2 linked regions of the Coturnix japonica genome follow. The protein of the gene in region 1 interacts with the protein of each later gene in a pairwise test. Links are inferred from orthologs where the notes say so. Each region holds a gene or a part of one and is shown in the gene's direction. Other genes may lie near its edges.

What was found.
Region 2: the proteins of SH3BP5 (region 1) and TNKS interact in a two-hybrid assay, tested with the Homo sapiens proteins (2 studies listed by BioGRID and IntAct). The link is inferred for Coturnix japonica from reciprocal best matches to the Homo sapiens genes SH3BP5 and TNKS.

The regions. Positions count from the first base shown.
Region 1 is NC_029517.1:38,179,857-38,190,335, forward strand, and holds part of SH3BP5 (SH3 domain-binding protein 5), read left to right. Parts: intron 1-5,884; coding exon 5,885-6,015; intron 6,016-7,839; coding exon 7,840-7,882; intron 7,883-8,380; coding exon 8,381-8,600; intron 8,601-9,031; coding exon 9,032-9,292; intron 9,293-9,488; coding exon 9,489-9,670; 3' UTR 9,671-10,479. UniProt on the Homo sapiens protein: Functions as a guanine nucleotide exchange factor (GEF) with specificity for RAB11A and RAB25. Inhibits the auto- and transphosphorylation activity of BTK. Plays a negative regulatory role in BTK-related cytoplasmic signaling in B-cells.
Region 2 is NC_029519.1:44,037,553-44,048,031, reverse strand, and holds part of TNKS (poly [ADP-ribose] polymerase tankyrase-1), read left to right. Parts: intron 1-235; coding exon 236-318; intron 319-929; coding exon of another isoform or gene 930-1,061; exon of another isoform or gene 1,062-1,076; intron 1,077-2,436; coding exon 2,437-2,557; intron 2,558-3,164; coding exon 3,165-3,262; intron 3,263-4,607; coding exon 4,608-4,682; intron 4,683-5,369; coding exon 5,370-5,475; intron 5,476-6,324; coding exon 6,325-6,511; intron 6,512-7,218; coding exon 7,219-7,375; intron 7,376-8,187; coding exon 8,188-8,274; 3' UTR 8,275-10,479.

The DNA.
Region 1 (10,479 bases):
GGGAGTGGCTCTTGCTTAAAAAAAGAATAATAATAAAAAATCACCATTAGTTTAACAGGGGTGAACAGCATCCCTGGGAATATTTGCATTTAAAGCCATGCAAAAATAATTGCATTGGGATGGCTTAATTGCATGGGGATGGCTATTCCTAAGTGTATGTGTTGCTGAAACTGACCATGGAGTACCAGGGATGTGTTCCAATGTAGTGTCACCTATTTTCAGCACGACGTTAGTTTCAGCAAGGCATTTTTGTCTGGAGTGTATCTGCATGTGGAATTACTAAGCGTGTGTTGCATTTTAAGCTTGCACACTTCTGTTATAAATTTACTTTCAAATTTAGAAAGGATCTTACCTTCCTGGTAAGGTCTTTTTAAGTCTACAGAGAAGATGCAGCAACAGTGAAAGGCAGTATTCATTTTTAGCAGCTGTCAAGAATTTTCCTGTCATTTGCCTTCTCTCTTTTTCCTTACCTGTTAAATATGCAGAAAGGTGTTGTGGTTTTCTTCTCTTTCTTTTTAACATGAAAAAACCCAAAATCTAAGTTGAAATCCTTTGTTCTGTCAGAGTTCCCCTGATATGTCAGTGAAGCTGAACTTGCTATTCCAAGCGTGGGGAGCGTGTCGTACAATGCTGGCGTTGTCTTGCAGTCTTCAATGCAGTAGCTTTGTTCTGTTGCAGAAGCTTCTTGGTTATAAGAAAACCTCTATTTCAGACTGAATTCTGAAACCAGCTGCCAGATGACGAAACAGAGAACAAAAAGGATGTTGGCTGTGTTGGGGAGAGATGGAAAACCCGGTATAAACTAAAACATGAATAATTAAAAAACGCACAGAAATCCGCTGGGGAGTAGTTGGTGTTACTGTCCCTGTCATTAAGTATTTGCAGATCTGGTAACCTCTGCGTTTCTGAACCCAGCTTTGCAGTGTGTTTGCCAAGACACCAACAGCTGTTGTTTTTTCCTTGGCTGTTATCCCTGTTTCATGTGAGTGAGGTCCAGAAATGCATACGCTATTTTTTTTTTTTATCCTCAGAGTAGATAGATGAGGAAGAAATAGAAGCTCCTAAGGAGTTGCTTAGAGTTTCTCTAAGGAGTTGCTGAGATGATTGAGAGCAGCCAATCAGCTGGCTCCCTCTAGCAGGCAGGAGAGAAGAAATGCTGGCAATTTTCAGGGTTTAAATGGATTCCTCCTTTCCTTGGATATCCTTAAGGAATTCCTGTGTCCTTCTGCAGCCCTTAATTGTTCTCAGACATCCTGCAGCCAAGACGAGCATGCCTGAGATTTCCAGACTTGGTGACTTAGAGCAGAAGAGGACTTCTCACAGTGTTTGGTGGAGCTGATGGTGTTTGCATGTACTGTCACTGAATGCAAGAGGTCTCCTTGTCCGGTCTGAGGACTGACTGAAACAGTGACTTCTCTGATGGTTGCAGCTGAACAGAACATAGGAGCCTTGTGTTTGCTCTGATGTAAAATCTCCTAGGCACAGATTGATCTGTGTAGAGCAGCTGAGGACTTACTGGATAGGCAGTGTGTTACCCTACTCTTTATGGTACTGAAAATAGTCTGGGTAAACTCAGATCCCAGAAAGCACATATCTTTGCCTTTCCAGGATACTGCATGTTTGGAAAGAAGTACATGGAAGTTTTCCTCCTGATTTTCATTAACCCTTTTAGCGATGTTGAGGATAGAGCCAGAGCCAACAAGGGTAAAGAAAACAACAACAATAAACAAAAATGTCTTGACTGGAAAAGCCTGGCAGTGGTTTGTTTGGAATACTGTCTGCGTTTCAGTCTTCTTTAAAAGCCGAGTGAATATGTTCTTCATTTCAGTGCATGCAATTAGTGAGGTTCTTAGGGTTCATTGAGGTACACAAACTACCATCAGTCAACCAGCACTCTGTTTCCATGTGGAAAGTCACTCTTGGAGAAGCTTTTTGCAGCCGTTGGGCTGCTCTTTTTTGGATTAGCTTTTTTTTTTTCCTTTATTTTTTTTGCCTATAACTGTAAATTACATCTATTGGACAGAGCATAATCTTGCACTGTGCCTTGTACAGCAATGAATCAAGTGCCAAACAGCATCTCTGGGCCAAATGTCAGAAGTGAGTTACTAATTCATTTGTTTCTATATTGGTAGAAACGAGAGGCAAGAGCGGAGTGTTTTTATTTGCCCTTCCTAGGCAGCAGTAGCAGACTCTATTGAATTAATTCAAAATTTGGAACAAATCCGAGCCCTAAAGCAGCTTGGTAGCTGACAGACAGTGCAGAGAACATAAGGAAAAGGGATAGGCAAGAGGACAAATCAGACACATCTTTATTTGTATAATCTTGTATGGAAATAAATCCTGGTTGCTTTTCCACTTAACCTAATGGATGCGAATGAAGACTTGAACTGCAAAGTACCTATTAGGAAATGCTGTTTGCAGATCTTGGTTGAAAAGAAATGGAGCTGAGGGCTGCACAGTGTAACTGCCTTTTGATTTCTCCATGGTTTGAAAAGATACTGTCACATTGAAAATAAGCGCTACTGGTATAACAGGATAATGTCAACAAGCCTTTTGTAGCCACTGAAATAGAGAAATCATCTGTGTAACTGTTTAGAAATGCAAGTGTTGGTGAAGATCTTCATCTCCTGGATGGGTCAGAAGCATAACATGTGGGAGATGTGTCTATATGCAGAGCAGACAACCAGCATGAGTAGGTACCGGGAGTACAGGTTGTCAGTCGGTATTTGGGTTTTGGGTGTGGGAGTCTTCCCTGTCTGTCGGTACCTGGAGTTGGTGGCACAGGTGGCCAGTGAAAGGAGGGATGAGGGGCAGAGATCTTTGCATTTATAATTATGTAAAGGTCATTCTTGGATATAAATGCATCCAAAAGAAAAGAGCTGACAGAATATTACCTGAAGTTTGAGACTAACTGGAGCAGAAAAGAAGATCCTGCGTGAGATCTTGCTGATTTCTAATTGCCAGAGCAATCTGCAGTCTTTTGTGAGGTATGTTCCATTGAAAAATTCTGGCAGGGAGAAGACATGTTTTGGCTCTTGATCACTAGACGTTTTAAAAAGGAAAGGGTGGGGGGGAAGGAAGGAGGGAGAAGGCTTGCTCCCTCTTGCTTTAATTTGGCTTGCAAAGCTCCTTTTGCTATTACACCATGAAGTACCATCTGTTGGTGTAAAATGCGTGGGAGCTTTCATGATGTGGAGAGAAAAGAGACTTCCTGCAGGTAGAACCACTTGGAGAAAAAGGGGGGAAGGAAGCTGTGGAATAAGCAACAGGGATACCCACAACTTTCTCTGTTCTTATCTCTCCATCTTTTCACCATGGAAGTCAAACAGTGTTTACATTCTTCCCTCTACTATCTTTATCCCTTGTGTTATTGATTCTGCCCTTCTGGTTTCCTGGTGTTGCGTTATCTGTCTTACCTCTTTTATTTCTTCTTCTAGAAGAGTCGCCCATTTAATTTTTTAGAGAAAGAAACAGATGTCCAGAGTAATTCTCTGGCTCAGATGATCAGGTTTGTTAAATCTCACTGGCAAATGTTTCTTTTGCAGCTGCTATTGCTGAAATTTGCCTGAAGTCCATCTTTGACCTCAGCTGATGAAGATTTCTTGGCTGAGAGGGACAAAGCCACTTGCGCAGACCTATTTGCTAGATATATATATTTTGTACTGACCCTCCTTTCCATGGCATCTGGGTTGGAAACAGAGGGTAGATGAGGAAAGAGGAAGTGATTGATACCTATGAGCAGGTGTCATCTTCACTCTTGTCTCTGGCTTTTTGAAGGAGATGATCTTGCATCTGTGATGGCCTTGGCAAGGTTTGTCGGTAGAAGCACTGTCTTACATTAGAAAGAAGCGTATTCAGATGGTGTGACCAAAAACTTGTTTGATGCTTTTCCCCCACACAAACTTCATCTGTCCTCTACTAAGACCTTTTTAAAAGCTGAGGGTTTTCACTGACTTGCCTAGAGTAGAACCTAGGCTGTTTCTATCCACATGTCCTGGCAGACAGATTCTATGTTAAGGCGCTGTTCTGCTTCCGTGAAGAAGCAGATGACCTTTTTGTTTCTTCTTGACTGGGTGAAAGGTTTAAATACATCCTGACAGGAGGCAGCTCTCTGTGGTGATACTGATGTGGAACAGCCTTCCAGGTGCTGTAGGATCACGTCCATGTCTTCAGCCTAGCGAACACACTGTGAGCTGTACTCCCTTGGGCAGAGCACTTGGGTAATGTGAGCAGGCTGGTAGCATGACCGTATAAGAGCCACACAGCAGGAGGAGAAGCTTGCCTCCCAATGCTGATTTCCCAGGGAGATGAAGTATGCAGCTTTTTTTTCCCTTCCAAAAAGGGTAACAAATGTGGGCGTAGATATCTGGCTGCAAATTCCGTATTTTGTCACATAGTTTGAGGTGTTTACAATCTGTCATCCCCAAATCTGTCTTGCAGGATGAAGCATTTTTATGGTGTTTGATGTGAAAGATGTGTGAAGTCCACGAGAGGCAGAACACCTCACCTGTTAGAAGACCATGGTGCTGATAGTGCTGAAGTGGTTGATCCCATGCTGATTTCACCCCAAGAATGGATGGCAAGGATTGGCATTTAATTAAGAATCAGCACGTTTCAGTTGCTCTATTATTCTGTAGCTTGCAGCATTTGTAAATTGCGGTTGCCTTGCCACACTACAAAGGAGCAAACCAGGTTTTGTGCAGTCCTTGGAGACCGCATTCTAATTTATGTCAGTTCCATGCTAAAACCAGCCTTGGCTGGCATATTTCACCAGGGAAGGTCTTTGCATCAACCTTGCTTTCTGAGACTTCAAGATGAGAGGCTATAACTTGTTTCTGGGATTCAGGGGAATGTCTGCTATCAATCAGATTTCTTTCTTATTTTTTAAACTTCAAATGTGGATGCCTTATTCACATGTGAAGCAGTTGAAGGTTGTCGTAGTATATGTGTAATCAGATCTTTTAGTTCACAGATAGCAACTTTGGTGTAATAACAAGTGGTGAGTGCAGAGGAGTAACTGTGGCCTCCAGTTTGGCAGCCGACCTTCCAGCTGATGGGGATGTAGTGCAGATTTGGCCCATGGCATTTTTCTGTGAATACTTTCAGGGTTGAAACAAGGGATGCCTGAAGACCGCCTGCTTTCTGCTTACTGTCAGACCAATGGAGAGGTGTCACCACTTCTATTCCTTTAAACAAATCAGTTCTGTCTCTTGCTAAATCCTGTCTGCCAGTGCATTAGAGAAAACAGATTTTCTGGTGCCTCAGGCAGCTCAAATCTGCAAAATGAAAGTACCGTAGACAGAATTACTGGGAAAACATGACTGTAGGATGCTGGCAGGGCAGCCAATGGGACTGCTGTGCCTTAGGCATCTGCCTGCCCTGGTTAGGGGCTGATCTTCAGCATAATGCTCCCCACCTGCATTGTAGTGGACCAGTTCATGGCCCAAAGCTTTTTTGATGTTGAAGTCACGATTTGAGGCTGGCTGTCTCTTTCAAGAGGAAAGGCAGCTTCCTTGTCTTCTGCAAAACAGGCTATAGGGGAGCTGGTGGAGTCACTGCCCCTATAGGTGCTCAAGGAAAGGATAGATATAACACTGAATAGTGTGGTATGGTGGTGATGGGTTGATGGCTGGACTAGATGATCTGAGTGGTCTTTCCAGCCTTCATGGATTCTATGACAAAGGCTGTCTCATTGGATGGGCTGCTTTCTGGTAGCTGGTGCTTCAGATAGAGGGGACAGGCTGAACTGCATGCTGTCTTCTTATCCCTCTGGTTCATCTTCAGCCCCTTCCTAATTTGAGAGATTGTAGATATAATGTTAATAAAAATGGTAAGAAATGGATGCTTGGGTCTTGCCCCTCAACCTCTGTTTTCCTTCTTACAGGTCATGGAGGCAGAACAAACCAAGACAAGAAGTGAGTTGGTTCACAAGGAGACCGCAGCCAAATACAATGCTGCCATGGGGAGGATGAAGCAGCTGGAAAAGAAGCTGAAAAGAGCCATCAATAAATCAAAGTAGGTTTCACACTTGGAGATGAGTTTAGTGGTCAAGTCTGTTCATGGGACAGGGGATTCTGTGGGATTTTGGAAACCTGTGAAAAGATGTTGTCCTTTGCAGCACAAATTGTACTAGAGAAGTTTCCTGGGTGTATTCTTAGTTGTGTTTTAGTGCACTGAAATCTTCCGTAATGAGTGACTTGAGAACGAGGCATATGGGATTAAACAGAAGAAAAAACACAACAAAACAAAACCCTGAAGCTGCAAAACCACCACAGCAAAGCTTTGCAGCTCCATAGGCAGCATCTCTGTGAAATTCTTATGTTTAGTTGGGAAGACTGCAAAGCAAATGACAGAAACGTGGAAGGTGTGAGACTGCATCAGGGCAGCGTGCTGTACATCAGACTTGTTTACTTCCTAACGCTGCCTTAGCAAAGCTGTGCAAGAGCTGTTCATGGGGAAAGAAATGCTTCGGGGAGCACAGCTGAGCAGCTTCACTGAGAAACGTGTGTGCATTTGATGAGCAGTTCTGCTCAGTTGCAGAGAAACAGAGCAGCTTTTTCTCAGAACCTGTTTAAAATGTTGGCCCTGTTGACAACCAGTTCTTAATCTTCTTTCTATTCCACAGCCTTTCCTTATATTTCCAGACTGTAGCTTGCCTAAACAATCTGCTTGCTGTGTTTAGCTTTTAATCCCACCATCTAAAAATGATTTGATCGGGAAATTGGTCAACTAAAAGCCTGTTTTGATTGGCGTTTGCTCAGTTTGGGAAAAGTTTAGCACTTCTCAAGGAAGATGCAGGCATGTTTGCTATAACAGTGTGGCAGCATGGCTTTGTAGAATGAGCTGTGCTGTTTGTCTGGCACTGCTCAGAGCCTGAGCAAAAACACAGTCATCTTGTTGAATGATAGATTCATATGATCTTAGAATCCTTAGGGTTGAAATGGACCTCTGAAGGCCATCTAGTCCAACTCCCCTGCCATGAGCAGGGGCACCACAGCTAGATCAGGGTGTCCAGGGCCTGATCCAGCCTCATCTCAAAAGTCTCCTGGGATGTGGATTAACCACATCACAAGGCAACCTATGCCATTGTCTCACCAACCTCACTGTGTCAGGCTTTTTCCTTATATCTATCCTAAATCTACTGTCTTTGAGCGTGGTCTCTGGGGCATTGCAGGACCACGTTGTCCAGAGTCCTCCCCTCAAACCCCCAGGGTTGGCAGATGTGCTGGAAGTGTTGCTGCTTTCCCTGCAAACAGTGATTTGTGTTTGCTGCATGCTTCAGGCTGGATTAAGATGCTTAAAGCATTACTGTTCTGAAGTAAGACTGGGATGACCTAAAGGAAAGTTGTTCGGATGATTCGCCTTGTGAGACTGATGACTGGATGATTACAGGATTGTTTTGCATTGGTTTTGCTTTAAATTTTGTTTCTGGGCCCTTGCTTGCAAGCTAGAGATGTACATAAGGCTGCTTGTTCTTGTACAAAATGCAGCTGCAGAAGGAAACTGTTCTTGGTTGCTGAGAGGATGCCTGTGCGGTAGGCTGAACATCATTTCAATATCTTGCAGAATCTAGGCCTGAGGGAGTTGTATCATCAGCTCCAACAACTGGAATGTTGCAATTTGTATTTAGGTCAAAAGACCCAGGAGAAATAAATGGGTTAGAGGAGAAAAAAGAGTAGAGGAGAGCGCCTGTAGGTGTTCTGTCATCTCTACAGAGGTCTCTCAGGATTACGCTGAGACACAAAGTAGCTTTGTTAATGCTATTGAGAGAGCAATGTCCGCTCCAGCGCTCTGCATTTAGTCCTGATGGCTGTAAACAGTTGTTTGTTTTTTCCACAGACCTTATTTTGAACTCAAGGCAAAGTACTACGTCCAGCTAGAGGTAAGTGCAGAGTTCACATTGCCCTGAGACTCTTTACTGCTTGTGGTAAATACTGAAATTACATGGGACATGCTATCGGAGTAACTGTGGACTGTACAAAGCCAATTTTGTTCCAACCCTCTTATCATGAGCAATTTGCTAAGCACACTTTAAAGATAAGAGGCCGTGTTTCCTTGTGTGCAGTAAGTTCACACCCCTGTTTGAACCCTGCTCCTCATTTTGAGGACCGAGCTGATACAGTTTGTCTGTCTGTGCTTCTTGTAGTCTGAAGTGTCAATACACTACAATAGAGGGAAGAAATGGGGAGCTGGTTGCCCCTGAGCTCGGTACAGGGGATAGTGCTGGAGGGTGTGGGCTGTGTTGTTCTGTGCCATCAGCCATGGCTTTGGTGGGGTGACAGCTTAGCAGGACCTGCTAGGGGGGAACATAATGAACCGCATGCTGTGTGTCCGTGTTGTTTGTAGTCAAAGTACCTCTAACATCTGTCTTTCTTGTTAGCAACTGAAGAAAACAGTGGATGACCTGCAGGCAAAACTCTCCCTGGCGAAGGGAGAGTATAAGACTGCCTTGAAAAACCTGGAGATGATCTCAGATGAGATTCATGAGAGGAGACGGTCCACTGCCATGGGGCCCCGGGGATGCGGTGTGGGTGCTGAAGGGAGCAACACCTCTGTGGAAGACTTGTCTACCAGCAAACCAGAGCTGGACACTGTCTCAAGTGAGTGCAGAGCATTTCTTTGCCTGGGAATATCTCATGGGCTGCGGAATAGAGAGGAAATGCTGAGATGAAGATAATCTGTATATTGTGCAGATTGAATTTCAGTGGCTGTTGTGGGACCAGTTAACTTGTTATGTTTCTGGTTATTGCAGGAGTTTATTATATCCTGAAGGGGCGGGGGGGTGAATTAAAATGCATCAGTTGTTCCCTCCTGTTCTTTATATAGTGCTGTATGGGGAAAAATAAACGTGTTGCAATGTGGGGAGCTTGCACCAAGACCCTTTTCAGTCTTAGTTTCTGTCTTTTGGAGTTTGATAAAACACCATCAGCCAGGAGCCAGTGGACAGGAGGCGCAGAACTGAGGAACTGTTACCCAGAAAGGTGACGAGGGGGTAGGTTTGTTAATGAGAATGTATCTTCAAACATTGCAGTGGCCTCTGAAGTGTTTGAGGATGACAACGGCAGCAGCTTTGTATCCGAGGAAGACTCAGAAACTCAGTCAGTGTCCAGCTTCAGCTCTGGGCCTACAAGCCCCAGCGAGGTGCCCACTCAGTTTCCCCCCACGACACGTCCTGGCACCCTGGATCTGCCCAGCCCCGTGTCCCTCTCTGAGTTTGGAGTGATCTTCCCCGTCCTTGGCCCCCGAAGTGAATGCAGTGGGGCTTCATCTCCTGAATGTGAAGCTGAAAGAGGTACGAACAGCTCGATACACCCTGGGCCAATGCTGTTTAGCTTTACAAAGGGAGTGGGGAAAATCCTCTCAACTCCCCTAGGTGTATGACAGGCTGCTGAGCTGCTGCTGCTTCCTTGGGGAGGGCAGTCCATGAAGGGCCCACAGTTACCTTCTGATATCTGGGTTTAATATTGAGCCTCATCTTTTCTTTGCAGGGGACAGGGCGGAAGGGGCTGAGAACAAAGCAAGCGACAGAGTGAGCAAGAATAGGAGCAGCAACAGGAGCGGCTCTGCTGAGGGGCTGGCTCTGGATAACCGGATGAAGCAGCTCTCCATTCAATGCATGAAAATCAAAGAGGGAATATGCGCAGGCAGAAAGGCTGCCCAGATTGGCTGAGTCCTCCTTGTACCCGTCCTGATTAATGGGAATATAAATATTTATATATGAACTTCTAAGTGTTTGAAGAACATTGTGCCAATAATATATGCCAAATCTTAAGCGTTTACTCTAAGAATTTAAAACTGCACTAAGAAGTCTAATTGATGTCGAGGGCTGAAGTTTTTATTGAGTAAATCCTTTGTAGGCCAGACGAGTCATCAGCTGGTAAGCTGTGCTCCCATGTCACAGACTTTGTAACTCGTTTTGTAGCAGCCTGGCTGAAGCAATAACCAGTAACGTTCCCGTGCAAATTCATGGTGGGGGGGAGTCTGAAATTCAAGCCAGACGTTTGCAGAGAGCAGTTTGGCTTTGGTTTTGTAGATCGAGACGCTCTTTAGATACACTGGATCTCTTGAGTATAAGTGGCGTATTCTTTAAACATCCGTATTTGTCTGTATTATGCTGAAACTGTAGAAATATTTTGTATACAGGAAAGCTGCACGTGGGGGTCTAAAAGCCTTCACTCTTCCTTTGGTGCTCACAGAAAGGATGAAGATGAGTCACACCTCTAAGAACTGGCCCAAGAGAGACAGGAGCAGGACGGTATCACTCAGCAGCCATGGGCCCATTTTTGCTCCCTTCCTGAGTCTGGCTGGCACTCTTAAGGGTGATTCCACTGACCAAGAAGAGTTGATTGGTCCTTGCCCTTCCCCTCCCCTGAGAAGTGAAGTATTATTTTCAGCACTTTAAAGTGTTATTGCTCCAAAATGGGAATGATAGATGTATTCAGGACAGTTACGATTAAGGGGATCGCCCTTAAAATATGC
Region 2 (10,479 bases), on another chromosome or scaffold:
CAATATTAGCCTCTGCCACAGGCTGATTGTGCTTTTCATTATTTGATACTGGGGAGGGGAACAGTGATGATATTCACACTGAGGTTTCATGCAATGGAAGTGGATTGTTTTTTATAAGGCAGATTAGTGGTACAAAGAAGAGTGACTGGGATCTTAAGAGAAGTGGTATTTGTTGGTGTATTTACTTATTTGAATCGAGTGCCTATGATTAAATTATTTTTTTCTCTTATTACAGTTTCTGGTCTTGATATGAACATTACCCAGTTCCTGAAAAGTCTCGGTCTTGAACACCTTCGGGACATCTTTGAGACAGAACAGGTAAGTGTCAAGTGTTTTCTGTGTACTTTGAAGGTAGACTTCAATTCCCGGATTTTAAAAGAGAGCAAAAAGATGATTTCACATCTACAGAAAAAAAATTAAACATATCCAAGAAAAGTGCAGTTATGAATGATTTGGCAAATGCTGTTCAGTGAAGTAGAAACAAAAATATCTGCCTGTTTGAGTTAGATATTGGTGGTTTTCACTTTCTTAAGAAACAGTGCTTGCTAATTTGGCTTGTATTCTGAGAACTGCACGTGAACTTTGAATTAACTTTTGAACATAAGTGACTATTGTAAAATTTAGGAAATGCAGGAACATCACCTGCACTTCTCCTGTAGCAGTCTTGATGTTTGAATAAACTTTTCACCATCTGTGCTGCTATGTGTAACACTTAAGTTAGACGTAGGAATTCCTACAGTTTGACCACTAAGCTGAACTAGAAATGTAGTTGAGTAGTTAAAAAGATTGTGTGAATAAGATGGACACTGGTGGATGTAAAAAGTACAGGGAGGCTGGATTTGATGATAGTTTTTTTCTCATACTTTTGCTGCTAGTCTTTTGTGATGGATCAGGAAGTAAATATTTTAAATGTAATTTGTTACTTACAGAAAAGCCTCCAAATTCTTCCACGAAACGTTACAGAGGTATCTCCCTCCCCAAAGTTACCACGCTATATAATATTTTTTTCCCTTCTTACACATAAGCATAGGCTCATTTCTTTAACTTGGAACTGCTTCTAGTAAGAAGCAAACCAACCCCAAATGAATTTGTATTCTACTCAGTTTTTGTTCTTATTTTATTATTTTTCCTCACCTTCCTCTTGCTGTGCTGCTTTTGTCCAGTTTTTACTTCCTCAACTTCTAACCTGTATTTAAGATCTTTCCCTGCTACTAAGATTAAACAATTTAAATCAGATTTATCATTTCCAAAACTGCTAAACTGCTCTTGTAGGTTTGTCTTTCTAGTAAAAATAAGTTCATCATCCCACTGCTTTCATGTTCTTTTTTTTCTACTTGGCTCTAATCTCATATTGATATTGGGTCTGTGCTGGTGCTGTCTGTTGTCTGTGTTTCCTGTTATCCTGTGAATCCCTTCAGTGGCTTTTCCACAGCAATCTCATTAGGGCTGTTTCTGCTCAATTGCACAGTTGTTCAGGGTATCTGTAATTCCTTGCTTGAATTGCTTTCCTTTGGATTTGTGGTACTCAATTTGTAGTTGACAGTGTTGATATCTGTAAGTCCAGTTGTGCTAACAGTCTACCTGGCTTTTAAGCAAGTTGTGTGGGTTCCTATTATTTGTTGAGCTTCCAGTTCCAATTTAATGTAAAATTGGAAGTAGGCTTTATGCAGTTACTTCCATCACATTAAATCTTTGTACTTCACATAAACACCTCAGCACAGAATTGCTTCGCAGCAATGAAAAATACGTATTTCATTTAGCACCTATATTTTCCTCTTGCTTTGACTTTGAAAATAGTTTGTCCTTTTATTATCTTTCTATTTCTACCAATAATCTGTGTGACCTTGATGTCTAAAATCATGTCAGGTGATGGTGGATGCATTTGTATATTAGAATAACGTAACTAGTTATGCCTGTCCTTACAATGCTAATTATTTCCCAAAGTTTGAGCGTGGGAAATAGTTGGGATAGTTGAGCTTGACTTAACCTGGCCATCCCATTGGCTCCGTCTCTGTGCAAGCACACATGTGGATATGCATACACTATTATATACCAGTGTGAAACACCTTTTTGGTTGCACAATGAAAATTCTGAATAACACTAGAAGGTGAGACCCTGAATGCTTCAAAAATATTCCCATGCTTTGACTTGTCCCAGCTTCTCCGTGCATCCTCCTCCTACAGAAATAAACATGATTGTAACAAGAATGAGCTCTTGTTAATTGCTGTGAGAGAAGTTCTAAGCAGCCCAAGCTGTAGCAGCTGGGCATGGTCCTGTGTGAGGGAGGAGCATGCCAGCAGGTGGCAGTAGTTAAGAATATGGTAAAACAAAATATGTGTTCTCTTGGTTGTAGCACGAATACAATCCATTTTCTGAACTGATGTATCTTTGACTGGTGATTTGTCTGGTGATTGTTGCGGTTTTTCACCTTTCCAGATAACCCTAGATGTGTTGGCAGACATGGGACATGAGGAGCTTAAAGAAATAGGGATTAATGCCTATGGCCACCGGCACAAATTGATAAAAGGTGTGGAGAGACTTCTAGGAGGCCAGCAAGGTAAATATGATGTTTTTACTTGTTAGTCTGAGTAACACAGAACACGATGTAAACGTAGGCATTGATACCAGCAATTGAAAGAGTGTGATTGTTTGGAAAACATGCTCACTGATGGTTTGGTGGCTTGTGACAGGTAAGGAATATATTGTGTTGATACAGGACTGAGTGACTGCTCATCTTTCCAGAGAATGGATAACCCCAGGAACCTGTGGAAGCTGTGCCCATTTACAGGGGTTCTGTTTGACCAGGGAGGGGGGAGCTTTTGGGTTGATTTGCCCTACATATAGGCTAGCTGTATCCTGAAGCGTGAAGGCCTGATGGAGCTCTTTGCTGTCCCATGCCACTTGGGTCCTTCTCTTAAAGCACAAACCATAAAATGTAGTTGTGACACTAGTGTTTTTCTCCTCTCTCTGAAGACCCTGCTGCCAAAGAAAGTACTTCATCGTTTCAAGGTTATTTTTAAACCTTGTGTTTATGTTGTGTTTCCTGCTGGTGTTATATAAGCAGAAAAATTGCAGTGTTTAATAAAAACAAGGCTGGCTTTATTTTCTCCAGTTGATTTTTATTTTTTTTTTTTTTAAACTTCTTTATTCCCTTCCCTTTGTAGGTACCAATCCTTATTTAACTTTCCACTGCGTGAGTCAGGGGACTATTCTGCTTGACCTTGCACCTGACGATAAGGAGTATCAGTCCGTTGAAGAAGAGGTATTGCAATTAGCTTGTTTGGTGGTGGTGCATTTCCCTCATCACCTAATCCTTAGAGCTAAATCTTGCAACACATGCTAAAGTGATAAAACATGCATTGGTGAATTGGAAAGATCTGATGTGGAGTTTAGGGCATTAATTAGTTTCAGTTTATACTGAAGATGATATATATATAATATATATTATATTTTATTTTATTTGCTGTTTCCTGCCAGTTTTTTTTCTTTAAACACATGATTTTGTTTCTCACTCCATGCTGACCTAATTTTGTCTTGCTGGCGTTGGGTTCTGGAGGTCATCTCATAGCTAGGGCTTACAGAGCTTATCAGAGAAAGGCACACCTGAGAAAGGCAAAGGCTGTGTGTGGAGACTAGGAGATCAAGGCTTTACAAGTCTGTAGGCATTCTCTTTGCTCAGGCTGTTTCTGCATGTGAACCAGCTTGTTTTCTCTTGTCTCAGTGGCTTAGTTAATCTGTAACCTAGATAAAGCAACTCTTGGATAAGCAGAGATGACTGTAATTTTACCTCCCACGCACACATGCTCTTTTATTTGAGTCAACTACAAGCAGTTACCATTTTGAAAGGAAAAGCTTAAGAGGACAGAAACTTTCTGAAGAGTTACATTTGAAATAAAGACTTCATTGTTTGTTCAGTTGCTTGTGTAGGGATGTTGCTTTGTAGCACAGAGAACCCTGGTACTCAGTATTGCTGCCAGTATCCTGGAATATTTTTTATTAGTAACTCTACAAACTGGAGTTTGTGCAGATTTTTTGTGCAGCCATGTCTGAAAGAAAGAGTCACTTGTTTACTAAATTGGGATGCTTATTTTAGTTTTTACTAAATGTTGGTGCTGTGGTTATAAAGAAAATGGGTTAAATTGTTGAAATTCTTAGAAGCTTTTAATGCCATAAGAAAACTTAGTGTAAGCATTTTCATGTCACTAAGAAATACAGGCTGTAGTCATTAGAAATGTGTTTGTTATTACTTCAAAATGATCTTTTTGTGAGTTACTTTTTAATTTTTTTCTAATCTAAAGCGGGTCTTCCAATAGTCTAATTTTGATAGCGGGTGCCAATCCTCTTCCCTTTGTAGGTTTTTATTATAAGATTGAGGAATTGCAACATTCAGCTTCTCAGACAGCATTGTAGAGCTCAATAGCGTGTTGGGTGCCAGAATAAAAGTATGCATCTCCATTTAAAATTTAGTTTTTTTGGCACCTTTTAGTTAATTTTCATCCCAGATTCTACTGCTGTCTGTGATGTATTAAGACAGATACTGCATGATTACTTTTCCTTGCTAACAAGTTTTATGTGCTGAGCATTCAGTTGTGTTCATTTATGTGTAGATGCAAAGTACAATCCGGGAGCATAGAGATGGTGGAAATGCTGGTGGGATCTTCAACAGGTACAATGTCATCAGGGTAAGTTTCAAAGCCTTGTAGTTCTTTGTAGTAAAATAAGTTGGTACTTATGCAAGCACACAAAATTGATTTTAATAGATCAACCTTTTAAACTTAGAGTTCTTTGTTGGTATGATAATCAATTACAGAGTTAAAGCAAGCACAGAGTACTAAAATTAAACTGATTGTGTGCTTGGTATATGGAGTGAGGAAGAAGTGTCCACTTGTGCTGTTAAAGGAGTCTAAAGAAGACATGGAGTGGTTTGGGTTGGGAAGGACTTTAAAGCCCATCCAGTTCCAACTCCTTGCCATGGGCAGAACTGCCACCAACCACATAGTGAACATTAAACCTAAACCTTCAGAAAGCTAGGCCTGTTCAAGAGCGGCCAAAGCAGGGGAGGGAAGGAGTTTCAGACAGTCTTGATGGTTCTTGATGGTATTACCTACTCTGAGGGCTGAAGCCTGAAAGACTGCCTTAAACCTGAGAACTTAAGCTATAGTTCACAATATATGTGAACATCTTGAAGCATATGCTGTAGACTTGGTGCAACGATATATTCAGAAGGGGCATGTTAATTTTGTTTGAAGTTGTTTTTTTTACCATTCGTTTGTCTTGCTGTGCTTCTCTGTAGAATTTCTACAAACCTTTTTGAAACCATATTTCACTTATTTTGAGTTGCATATTTAATGCTTGTTGTTCCATTGCAGATTCAGAAGGTTGTGAATAAGAAGTTGCGGGAGAGATTCTGTCACAGGCAGAAGGAAGTCTCTGAAGAGAATCATAACCATCACAATGAGCGCATGTTATTTCATGGTAACAAAGTGATAACTATTTGTATGTACTGGTATTAAAAAAAATAAATAAGGAAACCAGAAGCAAATAGGAACCCACAGGCAGTGTTAGTGAGGCTGTTTTCACCATCCTGTACAGTAATTGTTTTTCTGTGCTAAAAATGCATGGGTGTGGGGGTGGTGAAGGTATTCTATGCAATCTGTAAAGCTCCACTAGATACAAAATATGTTTACAAAATGCTGTATCTCAGTCATTGCCATTAAAACTGATGCTAACTTTTGGGAGAGCTATACACTGCTGTGAGAAATACAAGTTATCCTCTGAAAGAGGTGAGCAGCACATAGTGAAAAGCATTTTTCCATGGCACTTCCTGCAATCATGAGGGAAAGGAATCAAAGCTCACCATGAGTTTAAGCAAGATGTTCTCCAGAAGCATCCAGAAGTGCCTGCAAAGGACAACTATCTAATTCAAATTAATCCTTCCCTAGCACCTTCTCTAATCCTGTGAAGGAAATGGCTTTAGGGTTTGATTGCCCTGATAAATTTGCCCTTTGTTGGAGAGTACTGACTACTGAAGAAAGTGTGCACTGACAAAATAAATTGTGCTGAAATGTGAGGAGGGGGTGGGAAGGCCACTTAATGAGATCTGTAACTGAGTAAGATCTGAGTCACACGTGGGATCTTGGTATAGAATGATAAATCCCACACATCACTGCATCCTGCTGGGTATCGCCCCCTTCCAGCTGACTGAGCACACTCTGTGGTATTCAATGATCTATCTGAGGCAGAAAAACCTCCTCTTGACATAAAGCCCAGAATTAATACAGGTCTTAACAACTGCATGATAACACAACCTTTTGTCTTTTCTAGGCTCCCCGTTTGTGAACGCAATCATTCACAAAGGCTTTGATGAAAGACACGCTTATATAGGAGGAATGTTTGGAGCTGGAATTTACTTTGCTGAAAACTCTTCCAAAAGCAATCAGTATGTGTATGGGATTGGAGGTGGCACTGGATGTCCAATTCACAAAGATAGATCTTGTTATGTTTGCCATAGGTATGTCTCCACCAGAGATCCCTGTAGGTAACTCCAGCTGTCCTGGTTTTTATGACCCTGGCACAGGATGAATTGTGGGGAAAGAATAGCCACTTAAGTTTGGTCACGGTGGGGAAAATGCACTTTTCCATTTGTCGGGGCTGAACAGAAGCGGACATAAATGTGAGTCCCACAGAAAGGTCAAAGTGAGTATAAATCAAAGTGAGTGGTGACTCAGGAAAGAGACTTAAAATGGCAAGTTTGAAAATGGAGAGTCAGGCAGAAAAGCAATTAAACTCCAGGTAATCTTAGAATGAAACTGCGCTGCAAAGTGGTGATCAGCAGTACAGTTTGATTCTACAGACCACATAATTTTGGAGGTAGTGAGCAAGACTTAATCACAGCTTTGTTTTGTACTGAAGTAGATCGGTGTGCTTTTCATGCTTTGACACTCACTCTGCTGGTTGGAACACACAGAGTGTTCATACGGCTTCATACATCAGCTTTATAGGAAATGAACAAGAGCCAGCCTCCATGCAACAGCTAAACAAAGCATGTGTTTTCCTTTCTGAATGTCAAGCAAGAATTTTTAGACACAGCCTTAGACTTGGTTTCTATAACTGTTTCTCCAAAAACCTATGAGAAATTAATTGTAAGAAACAGAAGTCTGAAATCATCCCGGAAGCTTATGTCTCTCAGATATGTTAACACGGTGTTTCTCTTTTCAGACAAATGCTTTTCTGTAGAGTGACCCTTGGAAAATCCTTTCTTCAGTTTAGTACCATGAAGATGGCGCATGCCCCTCCAGGACACCATTCAGTTATTGGCAGGCCAAGTGTGAATGGACTTGCATATGCTGAATATGTTATCTATAGAGGAGAACAGGTAGGTGGCTAGTGATGACCAGCAGAGCTTGAAGTTTCAGAAGGGCTATAAATTATTTCCACTCCAGGTGTGCTGTCTTAGCTTTTTTTCACTTAAATGTAAGCTGTAAACTGTATTGAGGCAAGAATTGCTACTCCTTTCCACTGAGTTTCTCTGATCTACGATGTGGAAAATGGCCTCATTCTTCTTCTGCAGCACTGAGAAGAGCCTTTTAAGAGATGTAGTTTGAGTATGTGCTGTTTCTCCCACTGCGTTTAACTGACATTACTGCAGTAACAAGAACGCATACGTTTCTGGGGCTTTATAGATTGTGAGTATTCTCAGCTTTTTACCTGTGGATTCCCAGCTGTGGCAATGTCCCTGTCTCCCCTTATGGCAGCAGAAGTAGCACAGCAGTCTTCAAGAGATGATTTTTATTCTGAGTAACTCAGTGGAGGTTCTTAGCCTAGAAGAGAGGTTTGCTCACTGCCCTGGATGATTCAGAGATTACAAAATAAATTCAAGTTGGAAAGAATATTGGGCAGTCATCTAAAACAACCCCTCGTTCACCCTTGCTTGCACACCAGATTGCTGAGGGCTCTGACCAGGTAGGACTTGAAAGAGATTGATGTTTCAGAATCTCTCTCGGTAGCTTGTTCTTCTGCTTAATTATCCTCAGAGCAGAAAATATGTGCTTTGTATCCTAACACTTGCACTCTTTGAACACAGAGCTGATTCTTGCTCTGTCCTTCCTGGTCGTTGTTTGAAATCCAAAATGTGAAGTTATTGAGTGTACCCCTCCTGTTAAATGGTTTCTTTTTCTTGACTTTTAGGCATATCCAGAATATCTTATTACGTACCAGATTGTGAAACCAGAAGCTCCCTCGCAGACAGGAACAGCAGCAGAGCAAAAGACCTAGTAGCTACAGAGCAGCGAAGAAGGATGTGACTTCAATCTTGGACTGGGTGGAAATGTGTTCAGGATATCAGTATCATATAAAATTCTTAATCTGGAAATACGCTGTATGTCTTTTATAGAGCATTGCTGTCTTGATGAATACGATATGAGTAACTCTTGCATACTCAACTGCTATCGTTCCTTTTGAGGAAGGTTTACAAGAGACTGCCTTTTAATAATGCATCTCAGGCTCCTAGTCTCTACCATTACCATGTGCAAAATAATGTTGTTTTGATCTAGACTTTGGGAACATTGTGCAAACAAATCTTTATCAAGGCCATCTCACTTGTTAAAATTTCAGACACTACTGTTCTGCTTACTTTATTTGCAGATAAACTGCATTAAGTCCATAATTTTCCTTCCAGCATGCAGCATTCAATTTATCTTTTCAGAAAGTCTCAGACAACTATTTATTTTCCTTTTGTATTCTGGAGTTTAGCCAGAACCTACTTAAAGGTATTTTGCACAAAGTCAAGTTGACTAAAACCATTAACAATGCAATATGAGATTCATCTGAGAAGGGGCTACGTCCAGTTCTTCAAGATAGGGGGTTTCTTCGCACACCTCTGAGCAAACGATACTAATCTGTGAGTGTTACTTTAGAGTGGAAACAAATCCCATTTCGGTTTGCTGCGTTGTCTGTGTGAGTTTTCTGGGGAAACCCAGCAGAAGTGTCAAACCGACTCTTGTGCTAAATACAGCAGGTCAGTGCCCTCTACTGATATCTCTAAAAGAACATTTTACAAGGCTGCTATCAAGCGCGTGCAGCTTGTGAAACGTTCTCCCCTTACAGTGGCATACGGTTTTGCTGGGAGACAGCTGACAAGTCAGAAGACCACACATGCAAGGATGTATCTGGGTTGCATCCCTCTGTATTATGAGACACAGAAGGTGGTTTTCAAACTGGTAAGGGAGAATGTGTTACAGCAGTTTGGTGTCACATCTGTTTGACATCATGGTTGTCCAACAGCTTTAAGTGGTTTACAAAAGTAATTTTTTAAAATATGGGTTTTACATCTTTATGAGGAAAACTTTAATAATAAGATCAGTTGGGAAGTGGATTTGCTGGCAGGTTTACCAGAGAACAGAGCTGGGATGTACCCACCCCAAGCCCCTTCCATGCAAGTTCCCGGATCTATTTTGCTGGGTAGGAGGAAGTTATATTTCAGCATTGCATAGCACAGCATCAGACTAATTCTGAAGTCTCCCTCATGAACAGTAGAGATTTAACAAGAGTAGGAATTAATTTCTTTTTTTGGAGGGAGGGGGTTGTTTTTACAACTTCAGAGAAGGCTGAAAATCAAGCCCTTATTAGTTGTTCTGGTTTCGTTTTTAAACCATCACTGTGAGATGTTTTCCAGCACCGAGCATATAATGGCTGGAGGTAAAACGTTCCTTTGAACAGGCTGTCCATTCCCCTATCGACCAGCGCTGCTGAATAACTGATGATCCAGTTCATGCATTCCAGCTTTAACACCCTTTAAGCGAGGGAACGGCAGAATAGCATGCTTTTAGTTTATTAAAACGTGCTCCCTGCCAATGGGGTTTGCTCGGGGTGTTTGGACTAAACGGAGTCTTCACTTTCAGCTTTAAGACACAGAAATCTCATTTTTAGCATTAAGGCTTTAGTGTTGAAGCAGGTCATCCTCCTGGAGGAACTGCACCCACTGTAAAATCAGTCATCTGATGCGGTCTGGCTGCCTGCACATCCACTCTTTGTAATATCTATAAAGAAAACCTTAGAAATAGCAATACTGCAGCAGATCTTGAGCTTTGGGTTTTATTTCTCTCGAGCTGGCACTGGATCTATGGTTTTCACTTCATTTTGTGACCTGATGAAATAATCAGCTTCGCAGTCCAAGCCAGGCTCTGGCCTAGTTGTCCTTTTAATCAGACGTCATTGACACAGTCGGATGCTTGTATTTTTGGCTACTTGTTTAGTAGTGTTAGGATTGCAGAGATCACCACTAGGCTTTGAAGTTTTGTATTCATCATTTAAGTTTGAGGTTTGGTTTTAATTTAGTTAAGAATGGAGTGGGGGATGTGCCTATCTACACTAGGGTTTCAGATAGCATTGAGAATGAGTGTGGCTCACCATCCCCATTAGACATAGATTTCAGTGATTAAAAGAAATGAATTGTGCTGCGTAGATGAGCAAAATGGTTAA